Linked DNA regions of Lonchura striata. The protein of the gene in region 2 purifies or fractionates together with the protein of the main gene of each other region. This does not show direct contact. Links are inferred from orthologs where the notes say so. Each region holds a gene or a part of one and is shown on either strand. Other genes may lie near its edges. The genes, in order: C1H1orf35, SRPK2 and DDX46.

The links.
Region 1: the proteins of SRPK2 (region 2) and C1H1orf35 purify together in Homo sapiens (affinity purification with mass spectrometry; 3 studies listed by BioGRID and IntAct, with this or other methods). This does not show direct contact. The link is inferred for Lonchura striata from reciprocal best matches to the Homo sapiens genes SRPK2 and C1orf35.
Region 3: the proteins of SRPK2 (region 2) and DDX46 purify together in Homo sapiens (affinity purification with mass spectrometry; 4 studies listed by BioGRID and IntAct, with this or other methods). This does not show direct contact. The link is inferred for Lonchura striata from reciprocal best matches to the Homo sapiens genes SRPK2 and DDX46.

What each region holds. Positions count from the first base shown.
Region 1 is NC_134603.1:154,855,216-154,858,960, reverse strand, and holds the start of C1H1orf35 (multiple myeloma tumor-associated protein 2), read right to left. Parts: upstream 2,899-3,745; 5' UTR 2,851-2,898; intron 2,836-2,850; exon of another isoform or gene 2,583-2,835; intron 1,407-2,582; 5' UTR 1,367-1,406; coding exon 1,273-1,366; intron 1,181-1,272; coding exon 1,027-1,180; intron 949-1,026; coding exon 903-948; intron 817-902; coding exon 734-816; intron 644-733; coding exon 571-643; intron 236-570; coding exon 159-235; intron 1-158. Other genes in the region: MRPL55 (large ribosomal subunit protein mL55), read right to left, coding at 3,045-3,188.
Region 2 is NC_134607.1:59,975,613-59,979,357, forward strand, and holds the start of SRPK2 (SRSF protein kinase 2), read left to right. Parts: upstream 1-1,352; 5' UTR 1,353-1,367; coding exon 1,368-1,383; intron 1,384-1,485; coding exon 1,486-1,570; intron 1,571-3,745. UniProt on the Homo sapiens protein: Serine/arginine-rich protein-specific kinase which specifically phosphorylates its substrates at serine residues located in regions rich in arginine/serine dipeptides, known as RS domains and is involved in the phosphorylation of SR splicing factors and the regulation of splicing.
Region 3 is NC_134617.1:9,331,987-9,335,731, forward strand, and holds the start of DDX46 (putative ATP-dependent RNA helicase DDX46), read right to left. Parts: upstream 2,724-3,745; 5' UTR 2,646-2,723; coding exon 2,629-2,645; intron 423-2,628; coding exon 240-422; intron 1-239. UniProt on the Homo sapiens protein: Component of the 17S U2 SnRNP complex of the spliceosome, a large ribonucleoprotein complex that removes introns from transcribed pre-mRNAs.

The DNA.
Region 1 (3,745 bases), on a different chromosome or scaffold from region 2:
CTGCCAAAGAGAAGCCCACAGAGGCTTTTCAGGCTGATTCATAGAGATGCAAAACAAGCCCAGTGCCAAACAGAGCCATGGAAACATTTTGTAAAATATTTCCTATAAAAGTCAGGGCATTTCTGGTGGTTTCCCACCAAAGTGGGAAAAATCCTCACCGCTCCTCCTCCACCTTCTCCTCCTTTTCCTGCTTCTTGGAGACAGATGTCTCTGGGCTGCTGGAGACTTTCTGGTGCTAGAATTGGAGAGGGGGAAAAATACAGAGTGAATCCATGAGCCCACAGCTTGTAATTATAAGAGAAAGGGTTTTTCTCCCTTTAAAAATTAAGCTTGGAAAAAAAAATTGAAATTACATTTGGGGAAAAATTAGAATACCCTTAAGAGCTTCTTCCAAATTAAAGCCCCACAGATGATCTCTGTGCCAACAGGACAGAGGAAACTCCTGCAGGTTTCTGTGCTACAATACCCAGGTAATATTTTAAATAAAATATTCCAAGTGAGGGGCACTGCTTTTTGCCTTTTTCCAATCTATTTTTGAACCTTCCAAGGACAATGTGACTGGCACCGTACCGTGAAGACCGAGAGCCCCAGCTTGGCCGCCTCCCTGTCCTCCTTGGAGAGCATCACCCGGCCAGCGCTGCCACTGCAGAGACACCACAGATAAAAGCATAAAAACACTGAAATCCAACAAATGGTTCTGAAATTGGTGTGGGACCCTTCCCTCTCTCCTTACCTGGAGCTGCCCAAACCCACCACCCGATCCACGTCCTTCTCGTCCCGCTCGGCACCGTCCCTCTTGCACACCTCAGCCAGGTCCTGTGGGGAGAGGGGACAGTGTCCTGTGTGTGTCCCCAAAATTAGAGCCCAGGGGACACTGGGGGGATGTGTGGTGCCCCTCTTACCTCTTTGCTGAGGCCCATGGGCTGCCTCTTCAAGCTCTTGTAGCCCCTGTAAAACCAAGAACAGGTGATACGTGTGGGGACAGGCACCTGCTGTTTTTTGGGGTTTTGTGGGGTGTGGACTCACAGTGCTGCCATCATGGCCTCCTGCTCAGCCAGGCGGACGGCAGCCAGCTCTTCCTCCCGGGATAACGGGGGGCCCGTGTCCTTCTTGCCCTTGGCATACCAGGTCAGGTCCTTGCCCTTCTGCCACCGCCCCACCGGCGCCATCAGGGAGTTCCCTGTGGGGAACAATGACCCCCCCCCAGTCAGCATCATCGCACCCCAAAACCGTGGCAGAGGGGACAGGGATTGGGGCAGTATCAGCCCTTACCCAGGTAATTCTCACGCTGTTTGTCTGTCTTGACATCCTCCCAGCTGAACTGGTCCTGGCCCCCCCGGACCCCGCCCCGGGAGGAGCCGAACATGGCGCCGCACCCCGCAGCGGATTCGGGGGATCCCGGTGACCTGCAAAGAGATCAGCCCTGCCTTCATCCACTTCAGATCCCCCATGCAGCTCTGGGGGGGCTCCTGAAGGTGCAGGGAAGCAAATTCAGCCCCCCCAGGGGTCAGTGGAGTAAGCAAAGGGGGTTACACAAAGGTGTGGGGTGTTACAGGCTGGAAAGGGGGTTCATAACCTGGAGGTGGGAGGGGGTGCACGGCTTGGGGAGGGTCCCAGCCTGGGGGAGGTTGCTGGGGCTCAGAGCAGCCCCAAGGGGGTCCGTGGCCTTGGGGGGTTCAGAGTTTGGGTGAGGTTCAGAGCCTCCAGCAGGGTTTAGGGCCGGCAGCGGGGCAGTCACAGCCTGGGGGTTTCAGGGTCTGCTTGCAGAGCTCGGGGGCTCAGCCTGCAGGAGGAGAGTTCAGGACTGTAAGTGGGAAGGCTCTGGGTCTGGGAGGAGGCTGCAGGGCTAGTGGAGAAGTTTAATGCCCTCATGGGGATTCTGGGCGTCAAGGGGGAGGGTTCATGGGCTGGATGGGGGGTTCAGGGTCTAGGAAAGGGTCACAGCCTGGATGGGATCAGAGCTGGGAGAGGGGGGTCACAGCCTGGATGGGATGAGAGGTGGAAGAGGGGGTCACAGCCTGCCTGGGTGGGATGAGAGCTGGGAGAGGGGGTGATACCCTGGATGGGATGAGAGGTGGGAGAGGAGGTGATGGCCTGAATGGGATGAGTCCTGGGAGAAGGGGTCACGGCCTGGATGGGATCAGAGCTGGGAGAGGGGGTGATGCCCTGGGTGGGATGAGAGGTGGGCGAGGAGGTGATGGCCTGGATGGGATGAGTGCTGGGAGAGGGGATCAGAGCCTGGATGGGATCAGAGCTGGGAGAGGGTGTGATGCCCTGGGTGGGATGAGAGTTCGGAGAGGGGGCGACGGCCTGGAGGGGATGAGAGGTGGAAGAGAGGGTGATGCTCTGGGTGGGATGAGAGCTGGGAGAAGGGGTCAGAGCCTGGATGGGATCAGAGCCGGGAGAGGGGGTGATGGCCTGGATGGGATGAGAGCTGGGAGAGGGGGCGATGGCCTGGAGGGGATGAGAGCTGGGAGAGGGATCAGAGCCTGGATGGGTCAGAGCTGGGAGAAGGGGCGATGGCCTGCATGAGAGGTTGCACATCCCGAGAAGAGGCTGCAGGGCCCGGGCTGGGACATTACCTGGGGCAGAGTTTCCGGGGCTGGGAAGGGGTTCAGGGCCGGGGGAAGCTGCAGGACCTGGACGCTGCAGGGCCTGAAGTGGGAACTTGCCCGTCCCCGAGGCGTGCGGAGGCAGCTCGGGGCGGCTCCCTGCAGCCCGCGCCTCTCCGGGCTGGGCAGTGCGAGGACCGGGAGTGCCGGACCCGCAGGCTCACACACGGAGCCCCCAAATCCCAAAACTCCCCCAAATCCCGAATCTCCCGAACCGCACCGCGCTCCCCTCACGCACCTCCGGCCGCCGCGCGCGGCCCGCCCCGCCGCTACCACCGCGGGCACGGCCGCGGGGGGGCCGACGGGCCGTACCACCGCGCGGCCCAGCGCGGGGGGAGCCCCGCAGAGCCGCACCGCCCACACACGGCTGTGTTTTCATTTTATTACTGTGTGGTTTTATTTATAGATTGATACAATTCTGGGTTCAGCGCTTCACTTCTTCCAGAACTTCTTGTAGGTGTCCAGGTCGATGCCCTCGAAGGTTTCCTCCTGCTTGGCCTTAGGCTTGCTGGGGAAGTGGCGGCGCAGACGAGCCTTGCGCTCGGCTTCGGGCAGCGTGTTGCTGTCCAGGGGCATCTGGGGACACGGGGGACATGGGGCGAGACCACGGGGACACAGTGTGTGACACCTCTAGGACGTGGCGTGAGATCCCAGGGACACGGCATGGAGCCCTGGGACCGGGCATGACCCCTTGGGACACGGTGTGAGATTCCCTAGGGACATGGTGTGGAGCCCTGGGAGCAGGCATGACCCCTGGGACATGGTGTGAGATTCCCTAGGGACAGTGTGAGATCCCAGGGACACGGTGTGGAGCCCTGGGAGCAGGCATGACCCCTGGGACACGGTGTGAGATTCCCCAGGGACATGGTGTGGAGCCCTGGGACAGGGTATGACCCCAGGAACACAGTGTGAGATCCCAGGGACGGGACATGACCCCTTGGGACACGGCATGGAGCCCTGGGACTGGGTATGACCCCTGGGACACGGTGTGAGATCCCAGGGACAGGGTGTGACCCCCTGGGACACAATGTGAGACTCCAGGGACACAGCCTGGAGCTCTGGGAGCAGGCATGACCCCTTGGGACACAGTGCGAGATCCCAGGGACACGGTGTGAAGCCCTGGGACCAGGCAT
Region 2 (3,745 bases):
ACCAGTAGTGCATATTGCTGGTAGCAGTTTATACTAAAAATGTTTATTTCCTGTGTTCTTTTATGATGGAGGATGGGACACAGAAAATGTTTTAATTTAGAAATGCAGCTGGGTGCCTCATGAGAGCTGCAGTTTAGAAACTTCATGGTCCTATTGTTTTCTGTTCACCAGGCTCTCTAGTTAGACAAAAAAGCATTATACAGTGTAGTGCCTCCTTTTTGGGCTGTCTAGCTTTATGCTTCTGTGGCTCTCTCCCTCCTAAGCTGAACTAACCAGACCTACGGATTCAATTTTCTGTCTAAATGAAATCTCGATCCAATTACTTAAAGACCAGCAATTACTGCTAGTTCCCTTCACTCTCATAATGCCTTGACTATAGCTGCTTTTAGGATCTTCATCCTTACGGATTCCTTGTGTTGCCACTTAGGGAGGCAGTTCTGTCTCAAAATTTAATGACCATACCCCGTTACCTTTCAGTTACCATGCCTTGGAATTCCACTGCCATGTGAAGATAAGCCAGACAAGCCTCACTCTTAGACTGGAGCTTTGGATATGACCCAGATCATAGCGGGCCCCAGGCATTAAGGTATAGATGGCACAAGATTTCAGTCATAACACTGTCAAGCACTGAGCTATGCTGTGCACAGCTGAAGTAAGAAGGGACGGTGTTCACTGGGCCATTGACGGGTCATTACTATGCCAAATCTGAGCAGTGCCTGGTACCATGGGCAACAAGATGCCCTTGGCAGGAAAAAAAACAATTGCCAAGAGTTGTTCGTCATGATAATCAAACAACTTAGTGAGAATCAGAATTAAGGAAATCTAATTTCCCTGGATTTGGCCACGACGATAATTGGTTCTGGCATCTCACCCCACACAGGTTTCGGGACAAGCTAAAGCTGATCTCGTCCCAGCTGCTGCCGTGGAGAGCCCGACTCCTCTCTCCTCTGCCCTTCCCGCAGCTCCCAATGCGGCACGGCAACAGGGCGGATGGCCCCGCTACTCCGGTCACGACCCAAAACTTGGCAAAATTAATTCCCCTTTGGCTCGACCGCCCGACAAAGCCCCACGTCGGCCGCGGGGCCGCTCCCGCCTCAGGCGGGGCCGTCCCGCCTCAGGTGCGCCCGCCCGCCGCCACCTGCCGCGCCCCGCCCCGCCCCGCCCGCGCCTTTCCGGCCGCGGCCCCGCGGCTCGCCCGCGCCTGCGCAGCGGCGGCGGCGCGGGGCGGCGGTGGCGGTGCCGATGCTGCCGGACGGTGCCCGGCGCGCGGTCGCGGCTGGCGGCGGGGCCGGGAGAGGAGCCGGACGCGGGGCCGGGCGCGGGGCCGGGCAGCGGCGCGCCCGCCGAGCAGCGCGCGGCGCGGGGCGATGAACTCGCGCAAAGGTACCGCGCTGTGCCGGGCGGGAGGGCGGGAGCGGGGGGCTGCGCGGCCGCCGCCGCCGCCGCTGCTCACGCCGGGTCCCGGCTATTCTCTTCTCCCGGCAGTGCTGGCCCTGCAGGCCCGCAGGCGGCGGCCCAAGCAGTCCGCGGCGGCTGGCCGGAGGGACAAGCACTCGGCGCCCCACAAAAAGTGAGTACGGGGACCCCCGACCCGCCGGGACGGAGCCTCTCCCCGCGACCCCTCCGTTGTCTGCGCGTCGCTGCCGGCGCCCGTGGCCCCCGCGGGCCGTCCCGGCTGCCCGGTCCCGCCGCCCGCGGGGCACCGGCGGCTCCCCCGCAGGGCACAGCCCCCGCCCGGGCCGGGGGATGTCGCCACGGCCGGGCGGGGACCGTCCCCTGCCCGGGCGCCGGGCTCAGCATCCTTCGGGCAGGGCTGCCGGTGCCCCGTGGGAACCCGCGCCCGGCACTCCGGCCGCCGGCCCTGAGAAACCCCCGGTTTGTCGGGGATCTGCCAGCCCACGTGTTCCTCTTCGTTCTCCCTCCAGTTCTCTCATCTTTTTGATCTCCTTTTCCAGTGCTGTCTATTCCGAGGTTTCTTTCTGTATCGCTGTCCCATCTACAGGCAGTCCTTTTTGCATCCTTCTCGGTACCATCAGACTATTTCCCTTTCCCAGATGTGTCTAATAGCCAACGATGCTGATACTGGTATCTCTTTGGCTTGTTTTAAGTTTCTGTTAATTCTACAGATATAAGAACAGAGGTTGTTCTCTGTTTTCCCCTTGTCTTCTGCAAGCCCTTCATGTTCTTGTCACTGTCTAGTTGATCTTTTCTCATTATACTTTTCACTGAACCACATGGGAACATTCTTCCATCTCTTTAGTGTTTATTACACCTTAGTATTTCCTAGGACAGTGTGGCTTTGGACTGTTTAATTTTTTGTCCTTGAAGGATTCCATGCTTCTGTTACTAACGTTCACTTGTTTTGTTCAGTGGACTTTATTGGTGACTCGTTAAGTTGCCAGTAGGCTCTTGTCTTTGTTTTCATTACTTAGGGATCCAGTCTACCTGCTTTGTTCTGACAAGGAAATACGTCCTGATGTCACTCAATTCCCTCTCTTCCTAGCTGGCTGTTCTTAGAGCTGGGAAGCAGTGCATGGTGGATGGATGGATGGATAGATATGTGGTGGGGGGACATGCTGTTGTGTGCTATGGCAAATGATTCAAGAGGCAAGGTCTTTTTGTGATGTCTGCTGGAAGAAATAATATATCTCTGACTGTGAAGTATTTGATTTGCCTTTTTTTTTTTTGCTAGTTACAATGAATGGGTGCTATTCTCCCCTTTAGGATGGGTAAAAATAGATGAGGTGGAGGTGCTGGTGTAGTGCGATTAGACTTCGACACCTAACTTTGTTCACATCCTGTTCCACTAGTGGTGTTTCCTCCAGCATTGTGTAAAAGCTGTATTATGCTTTCAGTTGTTTGAATTTGGAGTTACTGCAATGGCAACAAATGTTATGTGTAAGATATGCAGGAATTGATTCCCTTGTTTTCAAAAACCTTCAGATTGTAATGTTACGTGCATTTGTCTTTTGCTGGATTGAACATGGAAATAGGTTAAATTTCATTGTAGCTCTAGGTTCAGTGTTATTTTTGAAGCTTTCAGTTAAGTCTTAACCACAAGGTTGTTAATAAACTTCTATTATTAGGTGATAGAGCATTTAATACACTTTTTAGGGGACCTAAGTGGGATGTTTTGCTGAATGAGTTTGTTAAAAGTTTGCTTTCACAGACAATAAGTGCAGAACTGGTAGTCTTTGTGTTTGCTGAAGAAACTGGCTACTGTTAAGTCGGGGTGCACAGTCAGGATCTGGCCATTTGCCTGGCTGAGTTGGCATTTCCAGACGCAATGCTCCAATCCGATCAGTTGCCTTATGAAACAAGTGGTTTTGCTGTAGTTGACAAGAGCCATCTTTTCTCTTCTGATATGTATGTTGTCTCTTCAAACCACTTCTATGCTCTGGAGACAACCTACTTTGTTTCATGCTTGTGTATGAAAGCGAAACTCCTATCAAGTTTTTAAGTCTCCTTGCAAATATTTGAGGCTCCCAAAGTAAAACCAGTGTCTCTTTTGTCCTCTTCCTGGTCTTACTTCAAATTCAACTGCTACAGCATATTCTAGTAGTTTAGAGGTATATGGTACCTGTGATGCACATCAAATGCACAGTATCTGCAAATGAAAATGCTTATTTGAGGGGTGGAGTAAGTTCCCTGTAGTGAACTTGTTCACTACAGGAAAATTGTGACTTAGCCTTGAATCCAAAGCAGTTGTTTTTTTTTCTTAACTGTGGTTCTTAGGAAAACTTTT
Region 3 (3,745 bases), on a different chromosome or scaffold from region 2:
AGAGCATAACTTTATGCTTCTATTGAGGAACAGGTTATAAAAGGAACCCACCAACCATCAAGACCGCTAAGAACTTACAAACTCCAGCACCAGCAAGCCAGAAAGCATTAAATAAGGAAAAAGCCTTAAGCATTGTGAAATCCACCACAGGCATCAGCAAAGTAACTAGCTGGAGTGGGAGAACATCAATATTCAGCGGACAGGCACTTTTAGTGCCTTGACTGGAGCTGCCGTCGTACCTTTGACGCTTCCTGTCCCGCGAGCGAGACCTTCTCTTGTCCCTGCTGCGCGACCTCTCCCGCCTGCGGTCCCGGTCCCGGCTCCGGGAGCGCCTGTCCTCGCGCTTCCTCTTGTCCGACGGGGAACGGCTCCGGGAACGGCTCCCGGAGCGCCCCCGGGACGCAGAGCGCTTCCGGTAATGCCTGCGGGCACGGTCAGAGTGAGCACCAGAACCATGTGCAGCAGGCAGAATAATTATCTGAAATTCTTGGGCTTCTTAAATGTCTAAACTTCTCCAATCATCTTGGCAAACTGATTAATATACATACTGTATGTATAATATACATATACACTCTTAATGATGCTGAAATTAGAAGGATTATTTGCTCATTATTTTTCTTTTAGTTTTAGAGTATTATTATAAGCACATGAGAACACCAGAACATCAAGAACAATTTCCTTTTCAGAAATCCACTGATTTCCATTTAATATATAGGAAAATCTGAAGGCTCTTTGAAACTATCTCAAAACCTTTCAGACAAACAAAACTGCTCTTTGTTACTTTTTATGCAATAAATGTTTACCCATATAAGGTAGGTGAACTATACTTCTGCTCAGTGGGAAAGCTGTCAGACTGGAATTAAAGAAACATAAACCCTCAAGGAAGTAACACACCTGTGGTCAATGCCTTTACCATGCTGACATTAATAGAAATTCTGTAATATCAAATATCACAACAGAAGCTGTCGAAAGTCAGCAAGATTGAGGGGTGTGAGGGAGATGGGTGTCTGCTTTCCTCCTCTCATTAATGCTCTTATCCTAACCACACTGTGGGGCAGAGCAGGGAAAGGAATTTTCTAGGAAACTCTTCAACTGAATGTAGAAGTCACAGAGGGACTGTGACTGTGACCATTTCCTCTTCCTCCAATCCCAGATTTTCAGACACCATGCCAGAATCATTCCTTTGTCACTCTCCTGTGGCTCAAGACTCACAGAGCCTTTCTCCTGACAAGCCCAATAGTCATGCTTGAGAAGAAGGAAGAAGCAGAGAAGACAAGACTTGAAGCCCCCCACTCTTTGTGTCACTTGCATGGTAGTATTAAAATAGTTCAGCTCTAAAAATAGCAGTATATTTATATCTAGTCTATGTTATGTGGTATATTTAGGCAGCACATGCACTTGGAGTTAGTACAGTAGCACATATCCACATCCTCCTGCCTATCAGCAGGATAACTGACTGCAAAGAACATCCTTCTGCATGGAGACTTTTGTTTGATTTTCCATCTCCATCTCAAAATGGCATGGGATCTGCTCTATAAATCCTCTCTTTCTAATCTTATAGTTTTAGAGAACTACTTTTGTTTTTATTTTTTCTTCCTCTATAGTGTGCAATAAAGACAAAAAGATGATTTCAAGTTCCAGAAGCCCCAGTGTGAGGAACATTTCCTCACACCAACCCTAACACATGCACCCATCTCCACCCACCATTCACTCTCACTCTCTTACCATTTCTTCACTTTTAAAACTTTTTGTACGTTAAAATAGAAAATTAATACAAGTTTAAACCCACTTTTAGCATTATTTTTAGCCCAAATAGAAGGACTCTGTCATTTTCAGAAGAGAAGCTATATTGTGATAAGCAACTGAGTCCTGCTGGCTGGAGTGCCAGAGCCTGGTTTTCAATTCAGAAGGCTGTAACAGAGCCCTGTACCACCCACTGCTGCCCCAGCTCATCTGGAACTAATTTAGATAGGTTTGTGGGAGTGCCTAGCTCTGCAATAGATCACTAATTTGGGCCCAAGATGGTTGTTAAAATTTCAAGTAATCTGTCTTTCTTGGGGTGAATCTCCGTGATGGACCTGGGAACTATTAGAGTGTAGCAGAACTGCATGTGAGGACTATCATGTCAGCTTTAGCATAAAAATCTGATTAAACTACGAGACAGAGGCATATGCCCGACAGCACTAGCAAATTGTGGAATGGCTTTAAAGCCTGGTAGGTGTGAGCAGCTCCGCATCATCTGGAGCACAGGTTCGGCCCGAGTCACACGCAGCACAAGGGCACATTACTGCCGAGCTGGTTACAACCCTAATCAGGGCTTTACATCACTGGGAGAGCGCAAAATATACTGCTCCATAAACACAAAAGACACGAACAAAACCATCCAAATCAAGCTAACCCCTCTGCGTGGGCAACGATGACATTTTGGAACAAACCCGTGAAGGCCGGAGGTGCTGGTGGCACCTCGGACCCAGCCAGGCCCGAAGCGCCGCGCGGCCTCAGCGCGCCCGCCGCCCGGGAAAGCCGCGCCGCGTTGTCCCCTCACGGCCGCCTCCCCGCGCCGCGCCGCCCGATCCCCGAGCGCGCCGCGGCCGCCGGGCGGGCGAGGCGGCGGCGCCGCTCCCTCACCTGGACTCGCGGCCCATGGCGGCGGCGCTCCCGCTACGCGGCGGCCATTCCCCGCCCGCGCGGCGCGCGCCCCGGGAGCGCCGCCCCTTCCGGCCGCGCCGGCGCCCCCCGGCGGGCGGAGGGCGCAGCGCCGCCCCGGCCCAGCCGCGCACAGCGCCGAGGAAGCGGGTAACCGAGAGGCTTTTAATAGAAAACAATCGCTCCGGCAATAAACGTTAAACACAACTACGAACACCAGCAGAGGTAAGTTAAAAACGGAATAAAAGAGATTGGTTTCTTGGTCTAAGGTCGTTTCTTGATCGCCGTTTCTTCATCGAGGTTTCTTAATTAAGCACAAGCCCCTCCTGGTGCTCTGCCCATGCAAGGGTATTTATCTGATTAAAATTTATGGTGAGGATTAAAATTCATAGCTTTTTACAGGTACTGGTGTAGGGATTTTTCCAATTTATTTGTATTACATTTGGGCATATAAATAGAGAATCAGAACAAGTAATTTTTAAGTAAACTCATTATTTATGTATCTCAACTTTATCTTAAATTACTGTAATTTCAGTTTTCTGAAATTACTATCTAATATAAATAAATTTAAAGTTGCTGAATCAATACCTTTGCTGAAAAACCTAAGTCAGAATTTTCTGCAACCCAGCCCTTTATATCTGTAATATAATACTCACCATAACAGAACCAGTTTAAAAAAACCCCATGAAAATGGTCAAATCAAAACATAAGGTTCTTGTATTCAGGCCACAAACATGTCTCTAATTTAAAAGTCAAGAAAGCATCACTAAAATTGCAGGAGGAAGCTTTAACAAAAAATAATCAACTGAAAGCTGGGCCATTTAGAGAGATACAATTAAACACATCTGCGCCCTAAAAGAACCTCTGCAGGCAAATACCAAGTTAAATATGTAGTTTACTATGCTAAAAATAGGCAACAGCCTATACTACCTGAAAGTCCAGACTTTAAAAAGAAAACTACAAGCTGAAAACACTACCAAATTTCGCTTCAACAGAGATTTTCAGAGATTATCAGTGTTTAAATTGACTATTTGGAATGACACTTCCTCTCACTGTGCAAAATTCCTAAGAGATTGAAAACAAAACTGTATCCCTTGTA